Linked DNA regions of Sus scrofa. The protein of the gene in region 3 purifies or fractionates together with the protein of the main gene of each other region. This does not show direct contact. Links are inferred from orthologs where the notes say so. Each region holds a gene or a part of one and is shown on either strand. Other genes may lie near its edges.

Region 1 (5,957 bases), on a different chromosome or scaffold from region 3:
CCTGGCCTGGAAGCTTTTGCATGCTGCAGGCACAGTCAAGAAAAAATAAAAGTGATGGAGATAGAGACAGGGATCAAGAGACAGAGGTAACTTTAAAACATAGAATCATGGACACTTGGAATTGGAATATGAGGAATAGGAATTTGAGCGTGGTGGAGCCAGGTCAGGTGACTGACAAGACAGCACTCCAGCACGTCACTTGATCATTGAGAAGTGATGGGAAAGCCGGTCCACATATTATAAGATGGGCCTAGGTCTTGACCACCACGGCTCACCGCCTTTTTTCCCCCCCATGCAGTTCTGAAACAGCTAGAAGAACTGCTGAGTGACATGAAAGCCGATGTGACTCGACTCCCAGCTACTATTGCCCGAATTCCCCCAGTTGCTGTGAGGCTACAGATGTCCGAGCGTAACATTCTCAGCCGCCTGGCAAACCGGGCACCTGAACCGACTCCACAGCAGGTATAGGACCATTTTCCTCTGGCCATCTGTTCCAGCAGAGCCACTCTGGAACTTGTAACGTTGCTGTCTGTCCCTGGCTTTACACATTGGGCAGGTGGGGCTGGTCCACCAGTGAGTTCCTTTGGGGTCAGGAGGGTTCCTGGGGTCTGACATTCTGACCCTCTTGGCTCTCTCTTTCTCTAGGTAGCCCAGCAGCAGTGAAGATCCAGATGGATGATACCACGTCCACCGCTGAGCAGTGACCTTCCTCACTTTCCCTTGCCCAGCTTCTCCCCTGGGGGCCTGAGAGACCCTCTCCTCCCTTCTGCCCCATCTTCCAAGCTGTAGAGGAACAGCCCCCAGTGCACTGGGGGAGGGGAGGGAGTGAGGGGCAGTGGTGCCCTTCCTGCTGGAGAGACATGCAGCAGTAGCGCCGGCGCCATCTGCAGGGAGCTGGCGGGCTGGCCTTTTGGGCCCTGGCTTCTCCCCACTGTAACGTCTGTTACACACAAACTGTTGTGGGTTCCCGCCAGGCTTGAAGAAAATGATCTGAATTTCTTCCTCCTTTTGGTTTTATTTTGTTGGTTTATTTTGTGTTTTCATTTCTCCTTTTTGGGGGGTATTCACAGTGGGCCGGGCCCCTGGGCGAGACACAGCTACCTCTGTTGGCATCTTTTTAATACCAGGAACCCAGCGGCTCCAGCCCCTGAGCGGCTAGAATGAAATAAAGTTGGAAAAAAAAAAAAAAAAAAAAAGGAAAAGAACCAAAAGCATAAAAAACCACAGCAAATTTCTTGACAAAAATTGAAAATAAAAGTTTCCTTGTATTTTAGTGCTCTGGTTCAGTGTGGGTGTAGGTGCAGGTGGGTGTGTCCGACGGGAGCCTTGGGACAGTGCAGCTGAAGACCAAGGGTTTCCTTGTGTCCTGAGACTCCACGAAATCTGGACTGTGCACCTACCCTCGTGCTCCGGCCGCCACCACCTGCACGCTGCGAGGAGCTCCGGAGCCCCCTGGGTTCACAGCCTAAGCCTGACTCCCAGCTTCGCGGCCGTCTCCAGGCTGTAGATGTCTGCTGTAGAGAATCAAAGGAGAATCTTCCTCGCAACATTGCGAAGACAAACCAGCGAAGTGCCGGAGCAGTTTTGAACAGCTGCTAAGCACCACCTTAGGGTTTATTTCAAGAAAGGCTGCTCTGGGTTTTCTGTTTGTGTGAAGTGAGAACACAAGATGCCGTCCTCCCGACCTCTCGTATGGGAACCAAGGCAGAGAGTTCCCTTACCTGAGGGGCAGCGCGGGGTATGGTGTCAAGGAAGAAGGTTTCAAAGTCACAGGACTTGGGAGTGGGTGCGACCTTGAGACGTGGGGCGAAAGAGGGTCCGGCTCTGACGCCTCCGTCCGAAGGGAGGGGCCGTCTTTTGGGTACCAGTTTTTCGGACGAAATCCGCCATAAGGCGTAAGGCCCACATCTGGAGGGAAGGGCGGGGAAGCTAAAGGCGTCCCCCTACGCGCCGCCTTCTCCACCTGGGAGAGAGCAGAGCGGTCCTCCCCGGCCGCCCTCTGCACCGCCTGCCCCGCGCGGCCGCGCGAATGAAACTTCCGGCTTCCGCGGCGGACGGGAAGCCCGGAAGAGGCGGGGCCTCAGCGGGCGCGCTGTGCGCTTGCGCGAGACGTTCCCGTGGTGTGGCGTCGGAGCGCCAGCCCCGCACCACACGTGGAGTGCTGTCGCTGCTTCCTAGGGCCTTCTCGGGACTGGACCCGCTTCCAGGTGAGCTGCAGCTTCGGGCGGGTCTTCTGCAGGAAGTCGAGGAAGGAAGGGTGAGGCGTCCACTTGGACCGGGGCGTGGGAAGGGGACGTTGTACCAGCGGTGTGGGACCCAGGGCCCGGGGCTCAGCGTGTAGTGGAGGTGTGGCCAGGCCTCGAGGGGCAGTGGGGCTGCTGAGTCGAGGTTCTCGTCAAGGCAGTGCCCTTTTCCACTTCAACTTGCTTCGTCTGCTCTCTGCCTTTCCCGGACAACACGCGCCACTCTACTGTCTCTCGTTTTTGTTTTCCTCAGTACCATGGGGCGCAAATTGGACCCTACGAAGGAGAAACGCGGGCCGGGCCGAAAGGCCCGAAAGCAGAAAGGTGCTGAGACCGAACTCGTCAGATTCTTGCCTGCAGGTAAGGGTCAGGCGTGCCCGTCCCCTTCCGATTCTCTAGCTTTTGCGCCGTTCTTCCATCTGTAGTGTAATCCCTCAGTTTTTTAGATTGTGTGTTCATGAGTTATTAGGAAGTAAATATGAATGGAACAATCTCATAAACGTTTAGAAATTAGGGAAGATGTGACGGGCACAAGTTCCCATGCAAGGAGATGTGTGGTTTAATGTTTAGGGCCTTCAGAGGAAGCAGGATTCCACGGAGTTGCCAAGTTTGAAAAGATTTTGTGACTTTTTTTTTTTTTTTTTGGCCGTCTCGGCAGCATGTGGAAGTTCCCAGGCCAGGGAGCGAATCCAAACTGGAGCTGTGACCTACCATACTGATCGTTAAGCGACTGCACCACAGCAGGAACTTCCAAGAAGTTGGGTTTTGCACTAAGCTCTTCTTAGATGACCTGCTTCTGTGTGGGGGTTTCATAGGTAGCCATGCAGCTCCCTTGGTGTGATCTATTGAAAATCAGCCCTGGACACAAAAGATTGTAAGACAAAAAAAGAAGAGAAGGAGAAAAAAGAAGTTGGGTTTTGAGAAGTGGGTGACATTTTAGCAGGTGGAAGTTGGGAACGGGACAGTCCAGTCACTGTGAACTGCATTGTAGAGGAGATGGGAAGGCACAGAGCTGGCTCCCACTTGGTCAGGAGTCTACTGCAGGTAGTTTGTGTTGAGTATTGTCTAAAAGATGCAGTTTATTGAAGTATAGGTAAGTGGTAAATACAATGCTGAACCCGCTGGACACATTATATCACTTCATTCTCTGTGTCCTGTGAGAGAGGCACTGCCGAGGAAATGGATGCTGAGAGGTTAATTTGTATAGTTATAAAATGATAGTGCTTTATGGAGTTCCAGTCTTGGTGCAGTGGAAATGAATCCGACTGGGAACCATGAGATTGCGGGTTCGATCCCTGGCCTTGCTCAGTGGGTTAAGGATCCGGTGCTGCCCTAAGCTGTGGTGTAGTTTGCAGACATGGCTAGGATCTGGCGTTGCTGTGGCTGTGGTGTAGGCTGGCAGCAACAGCTCTGATTGGACCCCTAGCCTGGGAACCTCCATAAGCCGCCTCCGGTGCAGCCCTAAAAAAAGGACAAAAGGAAAAAAAAAAAAAATAGGAGGGCTTTAAACTTTCTATTTCTTGGAGAATATAGGAAAAGCAGTAGTTTTGAAATCTGTGGTTGGCAACTGATTAGATAAAAGAAAGGGCAGAAGAAAGATTTGAAAGTTTCAGAATGGCGATGATGCTATTTTTTGAAATCAGTCTGGAGGGAGGCCCAGTTTGGATTTGGTTGATGAGCAGCCAGATGGCGATCAGCTCCTTTACATCTCTTTACCCGGCTCCCTGTAGAGCACAGTGGAGTGAGTTACAATCTCTTCCCTTTAACTACTGTCCTAATTCTCTGCCCTTTTATTTTCTCTCCTGCTTTTTATTTTCTCATAACCTCCTCTCTTCCTTTTTTTGATTTTTTAAACAGCTGGTGATGAAAATTCCAAGAGGCTGTCCAGTCGTGCTCGAAAGAGGTGAGTGTAGGAGTCCTGTCGTGGTTCAGTGGAAACGAATCCTACTAGCATCCTTAAGGATGCAGGTTCAATCCTTGGACTCGCTCAGTGGGTTAAGGATCCAGTGTTGCCATGAGCTGTGGCATAGGTTGCAGACGAGGCTCGGATCTGGCGTGGCTGTGGCTGTGGTGTATGCCGGTGGCTACAGCCATGTGCCTCAGGTGCGGCCCTAAAAAGACCAAAAAAAAAAAAAAAAAAAAAAAGGAAAGAAAGAGGTGAGTGTGAATGTCCACATTTATGTTACACAGGCAGATTAAATTGGTCCTGCTCATCTTTGGGCACATGATCCCATGTGACCCTGCTGATGGAAAGGGCTCTTTGGGGACTGTCATGGTTCCCTGCAGTGGGAAGTGGCAGAGCCTGGAGGGGTATTCCATTTCCTTACTCCTTATGTCTTTTCAGGGCAGCCAAGAGGAGGTTGGGCTCTGCTGAAGTCCGTGAGACAAATAAATCCCCTGGGGCCAGACCATTGCCTGGAAAGCTACCAAAAGGTCAGTGAAAATAGGAGCTGGGTGCTATGTGAGGAGTACACTGGGTCCTGGGTAGGGAAGAGCTTGCTGATCATTTCTGGAGTGAAAGGAACAGCCAAAGGACATTTGTGGGGGTAGAGAGTACAGGCCTCATTAATGTGTGACTGCTCTCAGCCCGGTATTCAAACCCTTTGGGATCTCTGCAGGAGCCGTCCAGACACCGAGTAAGAAGGGAGCCCTGTCCTTATTTAATGCTGCTCAAGGCAAGAAGCGCCCAGCATCAGCCTATAGCAGTGAGGAGGAGGGAGAGGAGGAAGACTCTGAAGAGGGTGGTGTGGTGAACGAGGGGGACCTCTGGGGCTCTGAGGACAGTGATGCCGATATGGTAGATGACTATGGAGCCAACTCCAGTTCAGAGGACGAAGAAGAGGATGACAGTGAAGAGGTGAGCTCTGTCTCTCTGGGTCTCCAGGAAGCGATCTTTGCCTTTTTGAGTCTTTCCAGATCGTTGAGACTGACTGTCCCTTGGTGACGAGGATAAGCCTGTGTAGAGGACAAGGATTTTATTTGGTATCTGTGAACCTCAAAAAGATTTTTTCTTTGGGGAGTTGCCGTTGTGGCTCAGTGGTTAACTAATCCGACTAGGAACCAGAGGTTGCGGGTTCGATCCCTGGCCTTGCTCAGTGGGTTAAGGATCTGATGTTGCCATGAGCTGTGGTGTAGGTTGCAGACGCGGCTCGGATCCTGTGTTGCTGTGGCTCCGGCGTAGGCCGGCAGCTGTAGCTCTGATTTGACCCCTGGCCTGGGAACCTCCATATGCCGTGGGAACAGCCCAAGAAATGTCAAACAGACAAAAAAAAAAGATTTTTTTCTTTTGACTTGGTGATTCTGTCCTAGGAAGAGGATCCAAAACGTAGACAACGATTTATTTACTGAAGTAGGAGAAGTTATTATGTACTGTACAGTTAGTATGTGAGTGTGTAATTAGGAAAATTGAAGCAATTTCTTTGTATGGAATACAAAGAAAGTCCCCACTTGCACCTTTGTCCCACAACCCCCCCCTTTACAGAGCTACTATTTTGAGACTTAGAGGCACCATGTGGACCATAACGCCAAAACTCTGGAAACTTCCAAATGCCCAATATGCTTAAGTTAATTGTGGTTTATTCGTATGCTAATTAACAGTTGGCCGTTATGTTTGTGAAAATGCTTGTGATCTAACTATGAAAAAAGTCAAGAAACACTCTTGAAAATGCGTAATGATTTTAACTGCGTGAGAAACGTGGAGTAGGTCTGGAGGAG
Region 2 (5,870 bases), on a different chromosome or scaffold from region 3:
GTTGAGCCTGGTGTCGATGCGCACATCCGGAGTTCCCATCTCCTTCATGGCAAATTTACGGATTTCTTTGAGTGCCCGAGGGGCACGCTTCTTAAAACCCCTGAGATCCAAACACAAGTAAATGAATGAGTACAAAATTAAATGAAATATACAGTATAGCATTATCCTATTTTCATCAAACAAATCTAAACCTGGAACAAGGCAGAAACAGTTCTTTTCCCCTACAGCATGTGGAAAAAATAGAACTAGTGTAATACTTGGGGCACAGAAGATGCACAATCTACTTTCAATAATGTAGAACAAAGACTATATATGACCATTAAGAGATGCTAACATACACACTGACCAACACTTTCCTGATAAACACTCCTATGCTCTAATATCTAATACTCTCTGCCAGGGAAAATATAATCAAAGAATGTGGTTAGCATAAGCCTGAACATACAATATCCAACACTGAGGTAAATTAAGTGTCCTCAAGCTAAAATACAATTAAGATTATCTGTCACATCCTAAGACAAGCCATGTTTCCGGAAATCATTGAACACTAAAAGTTCGCTAATAGCTTGGTCTTAAAGAGCAGGGGTCTGAAATGTACCAGTTTCAAGAAATACGTCGAGGGCAACAGTTAATTCTACAGATTCCAGGGCATGTGTCAGGCACTATTAACCTGTGGTTTTGATAAGAATACATAAATCTTTTTGAATTCCATGTTGTAAGTTAAATGTGGAAAAACCAAACTTTATTACAGGCTGAATCAGTTACACATTTGCTAAGTGAAAGCTATTCCAAGTGGGGCAGAAACCAAAGTGTAAAGAGGTGATCCCCCCACTGTAAATGACAGGAGGGGCCGTGCTATCAAGTCTCCCTTCGCTCTACCCTCTCAGCCTCCCCAAACCCATCATGCCAGCTGGCTTCATTCACTTAAAGCCCATTTTTCACGTGGTTTATATGGGTGACACTCAGATGGTATCAAGTGCTACAGAGAAAAATAAAGCAGTGAAAGGAGAAAGCATTAGGGAAGGGGCTGCAGGTTTAAAAAACCCCAGCAAGATCCAGAGATGACAAGGACAGCTACCAAGCTGTCTGCAAGAAAAACACCAAGGCAGGGGAAAAAGTGAAACTAAAACCAAACTGCTACTCAGACTCAGATACTGCCTGGCCTGGTATGATTAAGAAAGTGGTCAATTCATGAGGAATCACAGCAGGAACATGGCTTTTCTGCCGATAGAGGGTTTGAGAAGAGACCAGGTGTCTGGGTGGAGGGACCAGCGCAGGCAGATTGTGGAAGGCTGAGCCCAGAGGACATGCCCACAGGCCAGTGATTGGGGGGGGGGGGGAGGCCATGGGGCAGTGGGAGGGCCAGGGGTGAAGATGGACCCCAGGGGGCTGGTCTGGGGGAAGGTAAAGCTAGAGATGCCTATTAAACACCCAGGTAATACGTTTCAAAAGCAGCTGGGCATGTGAGGCCCTAAAACTAGTTGTTATTACCAAGTATAGGCAGAAAATGGAGGACCTGAGCCCTGGACTCAACATTAAGAGGATGGGCAGTGAGGAGGGACAGAGCAGACTGAGGAACAGCTAGAGAAGCAAAAGAAAAACAAAACCATGGAATCTTCGGGAAGTAAAATGAACAAAGGACTCTCAGTTGCTGCCAATCAAGTAAGAACTAAAAAAAGACCAAAAGACTGCTCTGCACACATCTTCAGTTAAAGCCTTTGCGGCAAAATGCCCCCAAATCTCATCCACCTGCAATGGCTCAAGCCCACTCTTCCAATTCCCAGTTGTCTGACCTTTAAACCACCGCCCCTTTCACCTGTGACTTACTCACCATCTGGCACTTTCTACCATTTTATAGCTGGATACTTCCCTAACTTCCCCACCAAGGAAACTCGGAAGGCAGGATCTTTGGTTCCCTTGTGAATCCGCAGAGCCCCAGACACAGTTAAGTGCTTAACATGCCCCCCAGTGAACACATTCGTGCCCCAATAACGGGGTGGGAGGAGAGAATGTGGTTACAAGCTGCAGTAATGCACAAAAAGGGCACCGTTGACCCAGAAACCCCCAGAGACCTCAGGCTTCACACATGGCCAACGCTTGGCTGGAAACGCCAGGGCTAAGAGACAGTGCCACACATTTAAATCCCTTTCGAAAATCAGTTGTCCTGAGATGAGAATGCCCAGACAAGTTGCTCCCCAGACTGGTGCCTGAGTATTTTGCAGCACCACCCTGGCTCTTAAAAACACTCCAAATAACAGCACTCGATGGATTTGGTCTGTTATTACTAGTCAGCACCGTGTGCATAAAAGGGGGAACACGCACAAAGCTCAAGAACTAAAAACGAATCCGACTAGCATCCATGAAGAGGCAGGTTCGATCCCTGGGCCCGCTCAGTGGGTTAAGGATCCAGCGTTGCCAAGAGCTGTGCTGTAGGTTGCAGGCCAGGCTCGGATCCTGCGTTGCTGTGGCTGTGGTATAGGCTGGTGGCTACAGCTCTGATTGGACCCCTAGCCTGGGAACTTCCACATGCCGGGTGCGGCCCTAAAAAGACAAAATAAAAATAAACAAAGAACTATAAAAACCACACCCCAGGGAGGAAAATCAAGAACTACGACATTCACAGTCATTCCCAACGTCCTTGTATATCACATATGCAGCCAGCGTCTTCTCCACAAACCACTGCCCGCTAACTTCAGAACACTTTCTTCTCTGGCCTCTCCAGAACTTCCACATCCAGCACCACAACTGGACCAATATTACTTAGTACTTAGCTGTGTGGGTGGGAGAACTAAAATTACCCCATTGCAATGTTCGGACTCTGGGCCGGACCTGGCGTTTTTAGTTACCTGGTTGACTTTACTGGACTCTGGAGACAGTGAAAAGGTCTACTCATCCTCACACACACGTCTCACCCCTAGACCTGCCGGGTTTAATTCGATCAACACAGCAAGAAGTAGCATCGATTTACCACCGCATCTCCCCAAGTAGGCTTCCCAGAACCCTTATTTAGGCGTTAACCTCCATTTCGCTTTAAACCCTACAAACAGCCTTCGATAAGGTCTATGCAGTAAAGACTTGGGCTCTTGAAGAAACGGTTCATTTCTAGACCCCGCGCGGTCAGAAGACACTGGCCGAACGCAGGCATTACTCACACGCCATGGATGCGCTTGTGAATGTTGATCGTGTACTCCCTGGTTACCACCTCGTTGATGGCGGACCGGCCCTTCTTCTTCTCGCCACCCTTCTTTGCGGGAGCCATCTAGACCCAGGCGACAAGGAGGCTCAGAGTGAGTGGGACAAACCCAAGCCAAGTCCTTCCTCCCGGCCTGGCCTCGGGACGCTTCCAGGGGCAGAGAGTCCGGCCAGGTCCCTGAAGGCCCACGTCTGGGAAAAGCCCGGCGGGCCACGGCACGTCTGCGCCCTTAGACGCCCCCGCCCCCGGAACCCCCTGCAGCCCCGGCTCTCCTAAGCCGGCCACTCTCCCTCACAGGCTCCGGGAGCCCTTAAACGCAACGCAGACTCCCGTGCCCCTGGAACGCGGAGGCCCAGGTCGGCTCAGGAGAGAGCCCCCTGTTTCATTCGACACAATCCCAGGCGAGGATGGCGCCGGATTCCTCAAGCTGGGAGCCAGCACCCATACTCACTTTCCCCGGCCCTGGTTGGAAAGGAAGAGCGCAAGGGTTTGTGGGAGAAGGAAAGCGGCGTCGCAAGTACAATTTCCGGGTCACCTGGAAGGGTGGGCGGGGGGAGAGGCTGTGACGTCCACGGCGCGCGCCGCAAGAAATGCAAGCTTGTCTCGAGGGCGGGGCCTGAGCGGGGCCTGAGCGGGCCGCGGCCGCGCGCTCGAACGTCGCCCTCTCTGCGTCGTTTCCTACCGCCGCGTTCCAGCTGCCTGCGCACTAACAAGGGCTTTTAGAGGATGCCGGAACCTAGGCCCCCAGGAGGAGCGGACCGAGGCGAGGCGAGAAGATGCTTTTCTGGTTTTCCCACTCTCTCAGCGATCGGCCAGGCTAGCGTTGCCTGAACCTGTACGCCAGGCTGGTGGCCCTGGAGATGCTCCCGTCGAGCAGGGCGGGCTCGCGAACCGGCGTCCTCGCAGCCCGGTACCCGGGAGCCTCACGCGGAGGCTGCTGTGCAGCCGCGGGCCGTGGGTGAGGGTGGCTGGGCTAGGAGTGAGGAGGAGGCCGAGGAAAGGTTTGCACAATAAGTATTTTTAAATTAAAATTGACAGTTTATAATTGGCTATATGAAATGTCAGTTTTGGAAGCACCGTTAGTAGAGTAGTTGACAAATCACCTTGGAAAGGAGTAAAATACTGTATACGACTTTTACATCGAAGAAATCAGTGTGATTTCATGACCTTAAAGCAGTATTTGTTTTCAGCTCTATCACACGCAAATGGCCCCATAATAGCAATAGCACTTTTCCCCAACACCTGGAAATGAAAAGAGAGAAATCTGACTTTGGAAATGAAAAGTGAGGAATCTGACGCCAGCACGTCTGGTGTGAGTTGACCGCGTAGCCACGTCCCAGATCCCCATGCCAAACCGATGGGTTGACAACTCTGGACCTTAAGTTGGTCAGAAATTGCATTCTTTTGTTGCAGGCAGCGTGGGTATGGTAAGGTCCTTAAACCTAGGGAGGTGTAAAATTTTATTTGCTGAGTTAACTGGAGCCCTCGAAATGTATGTTAAAACTGGACCATTGAGAAGGCGTGAGAATGATCATGGAATAAAATACAAGACAAAGTTAAATCTGTGATATTCACACCTTGCAGCCAGTTCTGATGTAAAGATAATCAATTTTGTTATATTTTGTGGGTCCTTTTTAGAACTCTTAAATCTGTATCAGACTTGAGATTTGAATTAAATTCTTACGAGTGTTTCTATCTGTAATCTCTTTTCATAATTGGGGAAATTTTTTTTTGTAAATTCCTAAATATCGACTCATCTGTTGTTTAGGTAGTATGTGATTAATATGGGAAATGTTGACAGTGTAATGGTTAAAAGAATGCTAATTGATACCTTTTTAAGATCAATAAATTGGACATTACATGACTTACAGTTAGTGGTGATATCTTTCCAGGTACAAAATTCCCTCTGACAAAAATGAATTTACCAGCGTGGAGGATAAAGATTTTCAGTTTGTGTCGATGTGTGGGTCATGGCACCACTGAAAAAAATGGGGACATTGGGAGAGGGCAGTTGGTTTTAAAGGATATTGAGTCATCTACTGAATTAAATTCAGGAACTTTTAAGTGTATAAACATTGGAGTATACATTTTAAGGCATGCATTACTTTAGTGAATATGCTAACAGGTTACCCTGCTTCTCCCATAACTGGACATTGTCTGGTTAGGCAAAAATCCTAAGGAGATTTTCTTGTAGTGTTTCTAATGAGCTTTTATTTTTCCCAAGAAACTAAAGCTTTTCCACAGATACCATAGGCTGGATATTTCAGCTATTGAATCAACCATGTTATGCTAAGAGAAGTGAAGTATACTGTGGTTTGTCTTGGTCATATGCATTGTATAAAGTTCAATGTATGAAGTGCCTTGTATGTGTCCAAAAAAAGCTACATATGGCATTTCTCTAGGGGATCTAAATTAGTTATATCTCTAGGTTATTGATGGCTGACTTTAAAACTGTCAGGCTTCACATCAAGTGAGGAGAGAAACTGAAGCAATTTTGTACCCAGCACCCACATTTTACCAGATAATTTGGCAAGAGTACAAAATGTCATGGCTTAGAACAGTATCATAGTTGACAAGTACACCATGTTGACTATATAAACAAAAATTTCAGATTAATTGAATGGATGTTAATTGCCATTAGAGACAGAAGATACTACATTTTAGCTGAGTTAGTTTA
Region 3 (6,169 bases):
AGTTGGTTAACTGTGGAGCCAGGCCTCACACCTATGTAGCCTTGCTCCATCCTTACTCTAACGATGCACCTGACCAACCTTCGCTATCAGAGGCTTTTACAAAGGGACTATGAACCAGCTCCTCAAACTGAAGTTCATGTACATGGGGCTTAGTAGTCACAGCACAAATATGACTCACTTATTAGGACAGTCAATTTAATTTGAGGACTTAAGGCAATCACTTTTTTTTTTTTGTAAACAGTAAAACATTAACAGGAATAGTGATTTTGCTCTCACAGCTGTTTCAGGTTCTAGTTCTCGCTCCACCCCTTTCTAGAGGGAGCGATAATAAGGAACATGCTCCATACACTGTCAAGGGTGATATTCTTTTGGAAAATGAAACAACTTATCTCAATCCAAAAAAAACTTACCTTTTTACTCCTGGACAGTCTCAATCTTGTAACAGTGCCAAACTGGGAGAAATATGCTCGGATCTGGGTTTCATATAGCGATGGAGGTAAGTGGCCCACATAGATTACTCCAGGAGTAAGTTTTTGTTTCTCTGGTTGCTGAAGACATCAAGACCAGGCAAATATTTTTTTAAATAAGAAACAACAACACATTGCAACAAATCCTGTGAAAACTCCCTGCTTTCAGTCTAAGACAACAGATAAGAACCTACCCTGCATCTCCACTTAGCACAACAGAATATAAAAATTAACTGTTTAATGTCCATCTCCCCACAAAGACAATTGTCAAGCAGGAGACTGTCTTCTCAGCGTCCCCATTCCAGGCCCCCAAAGTCAATGCTCAGTAAGTATACGGTGAATCAATGGTTTGAACGCATTATTCAAAATCTTCTGGCCTAAGAACTCCACATAAGTACAGTTTTGCAGATCATCGTTTAATTCGTACTCACCTAAGTCAACTATTTTAAGACGTTAGTTAACAGTACCTCCAACATACCCTTGTTTTCTATAATAAGGACTTTTAAGTTTTCCGGGAATGCATTTTATGCTAAAACCTTTGGGAAACAGAACTTTATGTCAGGGCCCCTAGTCGTAAGCAAATGAAGCCTGGCAAAAATTGTCTCTTAAGGATTCCAAAACCATGGACCTGGCAACCGAACCTCCCCAATTTGGGGATGAAACCATGTACCAGACCCTAAATCTTTGTGTTTTGAAATAAACGGCCTTTCCTTTAGTCTCCCAGGCCTCCCCTCAGTCTCAAAAGGCTGACTCGAGAGTTAATGATTAGAAAATACTGTTACAGCTAAAACCTAGTTAAAACAGTCTCCATTATGTTGTGTCCTGCCTTGGTCTGCTAACTTATTACTAATGTTTACTTTCTAATCAGAGTTATATTGCACCTAATGTTTTCTTTTATAATTGAAACACTCTTCTGACACCCCTTCCCCTTAAGCAGTCTTTATTCCAGAGAGAAGGTCAAGGGACGATAACCCTGAAGACAACCAGAAACCATCACCAAACCGACTGACTCCGGATTTGACTACTTTGAAATGATCTATGGATTAAGAATAACATAGACATCTTAATCAATAATCCTGTCTTCCGAGCTAAACCTATAAAACCCCTTGCTATCCCCTCTCAAGTCAGGACATAGCTTTGAGGCATTAGCCTGCCGTGTCCTCCTTTGCCTGGCAAAGCAATAAAACTGTTCTTTCTCTTCCTCAAAACTCCGACTCCCAAACTAGTGCCAGTGAACAGAGGCCACATTTTCCCTACAGGGGCAGAGCCAAAGAACGCTCTTTCGGATCTGGGGCTGATCTGCGGTACAAGGGGCGCTCCCATCGGCTGGCCTCCTCTTTTCCATCGTCACCCCAACACCCACCCCTTCATTTTTCGGTCCTCTCGGGAAAACCTCGGTCTCCTGGGGTCGGGGTCTCCTGGGGTCGGGGTCTCCTGGGGTCGGAGTCTCCTGGGGTCGGGGCCTCCAGGGTGACCCTGCTGAGGCACAGGCGTGGGGCTGCCGAGACGCGCTGGGCAGAAGGCCCAGGGCGCGCCAGCCGCCTCCTCTCGCGGTTGGGGCCGCGCAGGCCACTCACCTTGGTTGCGCGACGGCGAGCCAGCGCTACCTTCTTCTGGAACTTAGCATCTTCTTGCGGATTCAGGGACAAGAGCGGCCCAACCTGGGCAGCGAGAGCCGCCATTAAGCCTGCTACCGGGCTAACCAAATCCACGCGGAGCTCCCGGAAATGCGAGTCCTGTAGGGTTCCAAAGCGGAAGTGAGGGCGGGGCCTGGGCGCGACGCGGCGCGGCAGGGGGTGGGGCCTGGGCGGGGCGCGGGGAGGGTCCAGCGAGCTCCGGCGTCCCCTGCCTCAACAGCCGCTGACCTCACTCTAACACCTGCCAGCTCCCCAAAATTGCTGTGAATAGCTTGTTAGCGTTTCCTCTATGGCCCTCACATTTCAAGGGCCAGGGTTGGGATAAAAACCAACTCCAGGGAGTTCCCATTGTGCCTCAGCAGGTTAAGAACCCGACTAGCATCCATGAAGGTGTGGGTTCCACCGCTGGCCTCGCTCACTGGGATAAGGTTCTAGCATTGCCGTGAGCTGTAGTGTAGGTCACAGATGCAGCTCAGATCTGGTGTTGCTGTGGCTGTGGTGTAAGCCGGGCAGCTGCAGCTTTCATTTGACCCCTAGACAATCGACTCCAGAAATTCTCTGGTGTCTCAGCGGGTTGGCTCAGGGCAGGTAGCTGCTGCAGTTTCTATCCCTGGCCAGGGAACTTCCTCCAGTCCTGAGCGCAGTCAAAAACCAAAACCAAAAACGAAACCAACCCCAAAACAATACTCGTGCCCTTGAGGTCTTGCTAACCATTAATTCTTTTCTATTTATCTTCTTTCTTTTTGCTGTTTAGGGCTGCACCCTCAGCATAGTTCTCAGGCTACAGGTTGAATCGGAGCTGCAACTACCCGCCTACATCACAGCCATAGCAACTCCACATACCACAGCTCCTGGCAACGCAGGATCCTTAACCCAGTGAGCAACGCCAGGGATGGAACCCACATCCTCATGGATACTAGTCGGATTCGTTACCACTGAGTCACAATGGTAACTCCCCTATTTTCCTTTTTCACTTGTTTTTTGAGCTCTTATTGTGCGTCCCTCTGCTGCTGCCTTTGGGGAACTTAGAGCTTGGGGGGAGGGGCAGATAAAGGACGTCTGAGGGTGGGTCTGGTGCTATGTGAGATACTGAAGAGATTGGGGGAGAGGCATCCTGGGTGGCAAGGAGGGCCTCCGGAGGAGGTAGCTTTGAGCTGAGACCTGAAGGCATGGGGAGCAGGCATGGAGGTCTTAGGCTGGAAAGAAGGGACCAGCCATTGTGGCTGGAGCTCAGCAAGGGGTGAGGACCAAGGGTGCAGGTGGGAGCTCCAGGGCTCTGCTTGTCAAGGTTGAAAGCTTGGGTTTTATTGTAAATGCAGGGGAATGGGAGGGTTTTATGGAAGGCTGTGGTTGTTCATACCTTTCAAATAACTCCACTAGTTAGGGTGGCAGGTGGACTGAAGAAACAGGGAGTCAAGGCTACAGTAGTAGTCCATGCCAGCCAGTATGGGAGACAGAGGTGGCAGATTGCCCAATGAAAACAAATGCACTACCTAAAATTTGGGTATTACGTTTTCTCCTTCCGATTTTTCTTGTAGAGGGCAGAGGCTTCTTGGGTAGAACAATTTTTCACTGGACTGTGTGTCCCACTCTGCCTTGGCACCCTGTCTCCAGCACCTGATGTCAGCACCACCCTTCTCCCCCCAAGTCACTTAACAACCAAATGCCTCCAGACACTTCTACAGACCTGAGTGTGTGGCTGCGTGTGCTCAATGAATGTCTCTCCTTTCTTTTGCCCCCACTGACCACCCACCATGCCACCCCTCTGTGGGAACTCAATAGTGGCATGTCTTTCCTATGGGGCCACCATCACCACCTATGCACTGGAGCCCCTGGCAGGGGATGGGGTAGGTAGCATGGTGAGGGCTGATGTCAGAGCTTCAGGGTAAGGCAGGGTGTGCTGAGTATCTAGGGAGCTGGGTCTTGGGAACAGAAGACTCTGAGAGGTGGGGCTGAGGTGCCTACCCAGCCCTGCTCGCCTTCCTCCTCTTCTCCTCCTTTTCCATCCATTGTGCCTGGTCCCTGAGGGGTCATCCAACCTTCCAGCTATGAGTCAGCATGCTCAGCCCTGCCTGGCTGACCCTTGCTCAGTCACAGGGCTTTTGGGCTGAAAGGGACAATTTTAGGGGAAGTGGAGAGAAAGTGTCATTTGTTTCATTAGTCTCAATAGTGCAGCCTCAGGACATGTCACCTGACAACTAAAAATTCCGCCTGTATTCAGTTTAGGGCCACAGGACCTGAAGTTGGGAGGGAAATTTTCTTTCTCTGTCCTTCTCTGTGACTATCACCTTGGCCACATCTTGCCCTGTGCCAGGTCTAACTTCATGCACAACCCCGAATCTAGACCCTGAGTGTGGCAATGACCTTGGCAAAGCGGGGGGGGGCGGGGGGGGGGCTCCTGGAGGGATGGGGGTGGGGAGAGTGGAGAGGGGTAGCTGCTCATAGGGTTCACTGCCCTTCAAGGAAACTTGTAGAAGTGTACCACCTATAACAGAGTCTTCAGTACTATTAAATGAGTCATATTTTCACCCTTAAATGAGCCCAGAATGTCTACAGTGTTAACATTCACACTCAGGAGAGTGCAGCCAAGTGGCCAGGGGGATGGAGATGAGTTCAGTTTCTCTAGAAAGAGATTTGGCAAAATCTGTCAAGGACTTTAAAAATAGGACTTATTGGAGTTCCCACTGTGGCTCTATGGGCTAAGAACCTTACTAGTATCCATGAGCATGTAGCTTCAATCCAGTGGGTTAAGTATCTGGCATCGCCTTGACCTTTGGTGTAAGTCACAGATGTGGCTTGGATCCTGTGTTGCTGTTGCTGTGGCGAAGGCAGGGAACTTCATATGCCTCAGGTGTATCCCTAAAAAGACAAAAACAAGCCAACAAAAAAAGAAGACTGGTGGAAATTCCTGCTGTGGCACAAGAGGATCCGTGACATCTCTGCAGCGCCAGGATGCAGGTTCAGTCCCTGGTGCAGTGCAGTGGGTTAAATGATCCAGTGTTGCTGCAGGTGCAACATAGGCCAAAACTGTGCCTTGGATCTTCTCCCTGGCCCAGGAACACCATATACCTTGGGGCAGCCAAAAAAAGAAAAAAAAAAAAGGACTTATCAAAGCAATGATCTTATCATTTAAAAAATTCTAATTTTTTCTTTTTTGTTGTAGTCGACTTACAATAATTTCAAGTATACAATTTAGTAATATTTTTATAGATTATACTCCATATAATGTTGTTATACAATATTGGCTATTTCACTGTGCTGTACATTACATTCCTGTTACTTGTCTATTTTATACCTTGTGGTTTGAACCTCTTAATCTCTGACCCAATTTGCTCCTCCCCCCATTAGTCCATTACTCTGTGTCTGTGGAACTGCTGCTGCCTTGCTATATTTAATCGTTTGCTTTATTTTTTAGATTCCTCATAAAAGTGAAAACATACAAGAGTTACCATGGTGGCTCAGCATTAATGAATCTGACTACTATACATGATTTGATCCTTGGCCTCGTTCAGTGGGTTAAGGATCTGGTGTTGCCGTGAGCTGTGGCATAGGTTGCAGTCTCAGCCTGGATCTGGTGTTGTGTGACTGTGGTGTAGGCTGGCAAATGCAATTCTGATTTGACCCATAGTCTGAGAACTTCCAAATGCCATGAGTGTGCTCATTAAAAAAAAAAAAACAGTGAAAACATACAGTATTTGTCTTTCTCTGCCTGACATTTCACTAAGCATACTGCCCTCCAGGTCCATCTATGTTGTCACATTTGGTAAAATTTCATTCTTTTTTATGGCCAAGAAATAGTCCATTGTATGTATACATATATAGGCTACATTTTTGAAACTATTCATCTGTTGATGGACACATGTTGCTTCCATATATTGGCTATTGTAAATAATGCTACTCAGAACATTGACATGCGTGTATTTTTTCAAATTTGTGTTTTTCTTTTCTTTGGATACATACCCAGGAGTGGAATTCTGGATTGTATGCTACTGCCATTTTTAATTTTTGAGAAATCTCCCATAATGTTTTCCACAGTAGTTGTACTAACTTATATTCCTACTAACA

Evidence for each region.
Region 1: the proteins of NIFK (region 3) and NOP2 fractionate together in Homo sapiens (co-fractionation; 3 studies listed by BioGRID, with this or other methods). This does not show direct contact. The link is inferred for Sus scrofa from reciprocal best matches to the Homo sapiens genes NIFK and NOP2.
Region 2: the proteins of NIFK (region 3) and RPL31 fractionate together in Homo sapiens (co-fractionation; 3 studies listed by BioGRID and IntAct, with this or other methods). This does not show direct contact. The link is inferred for Sus scrofa from reciprocal best matches to the Homo sapiens genes NIFK and RPL31.

What each region holds. Positions count from the first base shown.
Region 1 is NC_010447.5:64,104,002-64,109,958, forward strand, and holds the start of NOP2 (probable 28S rRNA (cytosine(4447)-C(5))-methyltransferase), read left to right. Parts: upstream 1-2,207; intron 2,208-2,496; coding exon of another isoform or gene 2,497-2,500; coding exon 2,501-2,603; intron 2,604-4,100; coding exon 4,101-4,146; intron 4,147-4,587; coding exon 4,588-4,676; intron 4,677-4,861; coding exon 4,862-5,100; intron 5,101-5,957. Other genes in the region: CHD4 (chromodomain-helicase-DNA-binding protein 4), read left to right, coding at 299-462, 646-663. UniProt on the Homo sapiens protein: S-adenosyl-L-methionine-dependent methyltransferase that specifically methylates the C(5) position of cytosine 4447 in 28S rRNA. Required for efficient rRNA processing and 60S ribosomal subunit biogenesis.
Region 2 is NC_010445.4:53,291,638-53,297,507, forward strand, and holds the start of RPL31 (60S ribosomal protein L31), read right to left. Parts: upstream 3,751-5,870; 5' UTR 3,645-3,750; intron 3,260-3,644; coding exon 3,153-3,259; intron 101-3,152; coding exon 1-100.
Region 3 is NC_010457.5:29,716,984-29,723,152, reverse strand, and holds the start of NIFK (MKI67 FHA domain-interacting nucleolar phosphoprotein), read right to left. Parts: upstream 4,130-6,169; 5' UTR 4,115-4,129; coding exon 4,070-4,114; intron 2,204-4,069; coding exon 2,045-2,203; intron 549-2,044; coding exon 411-548; intron 1-410.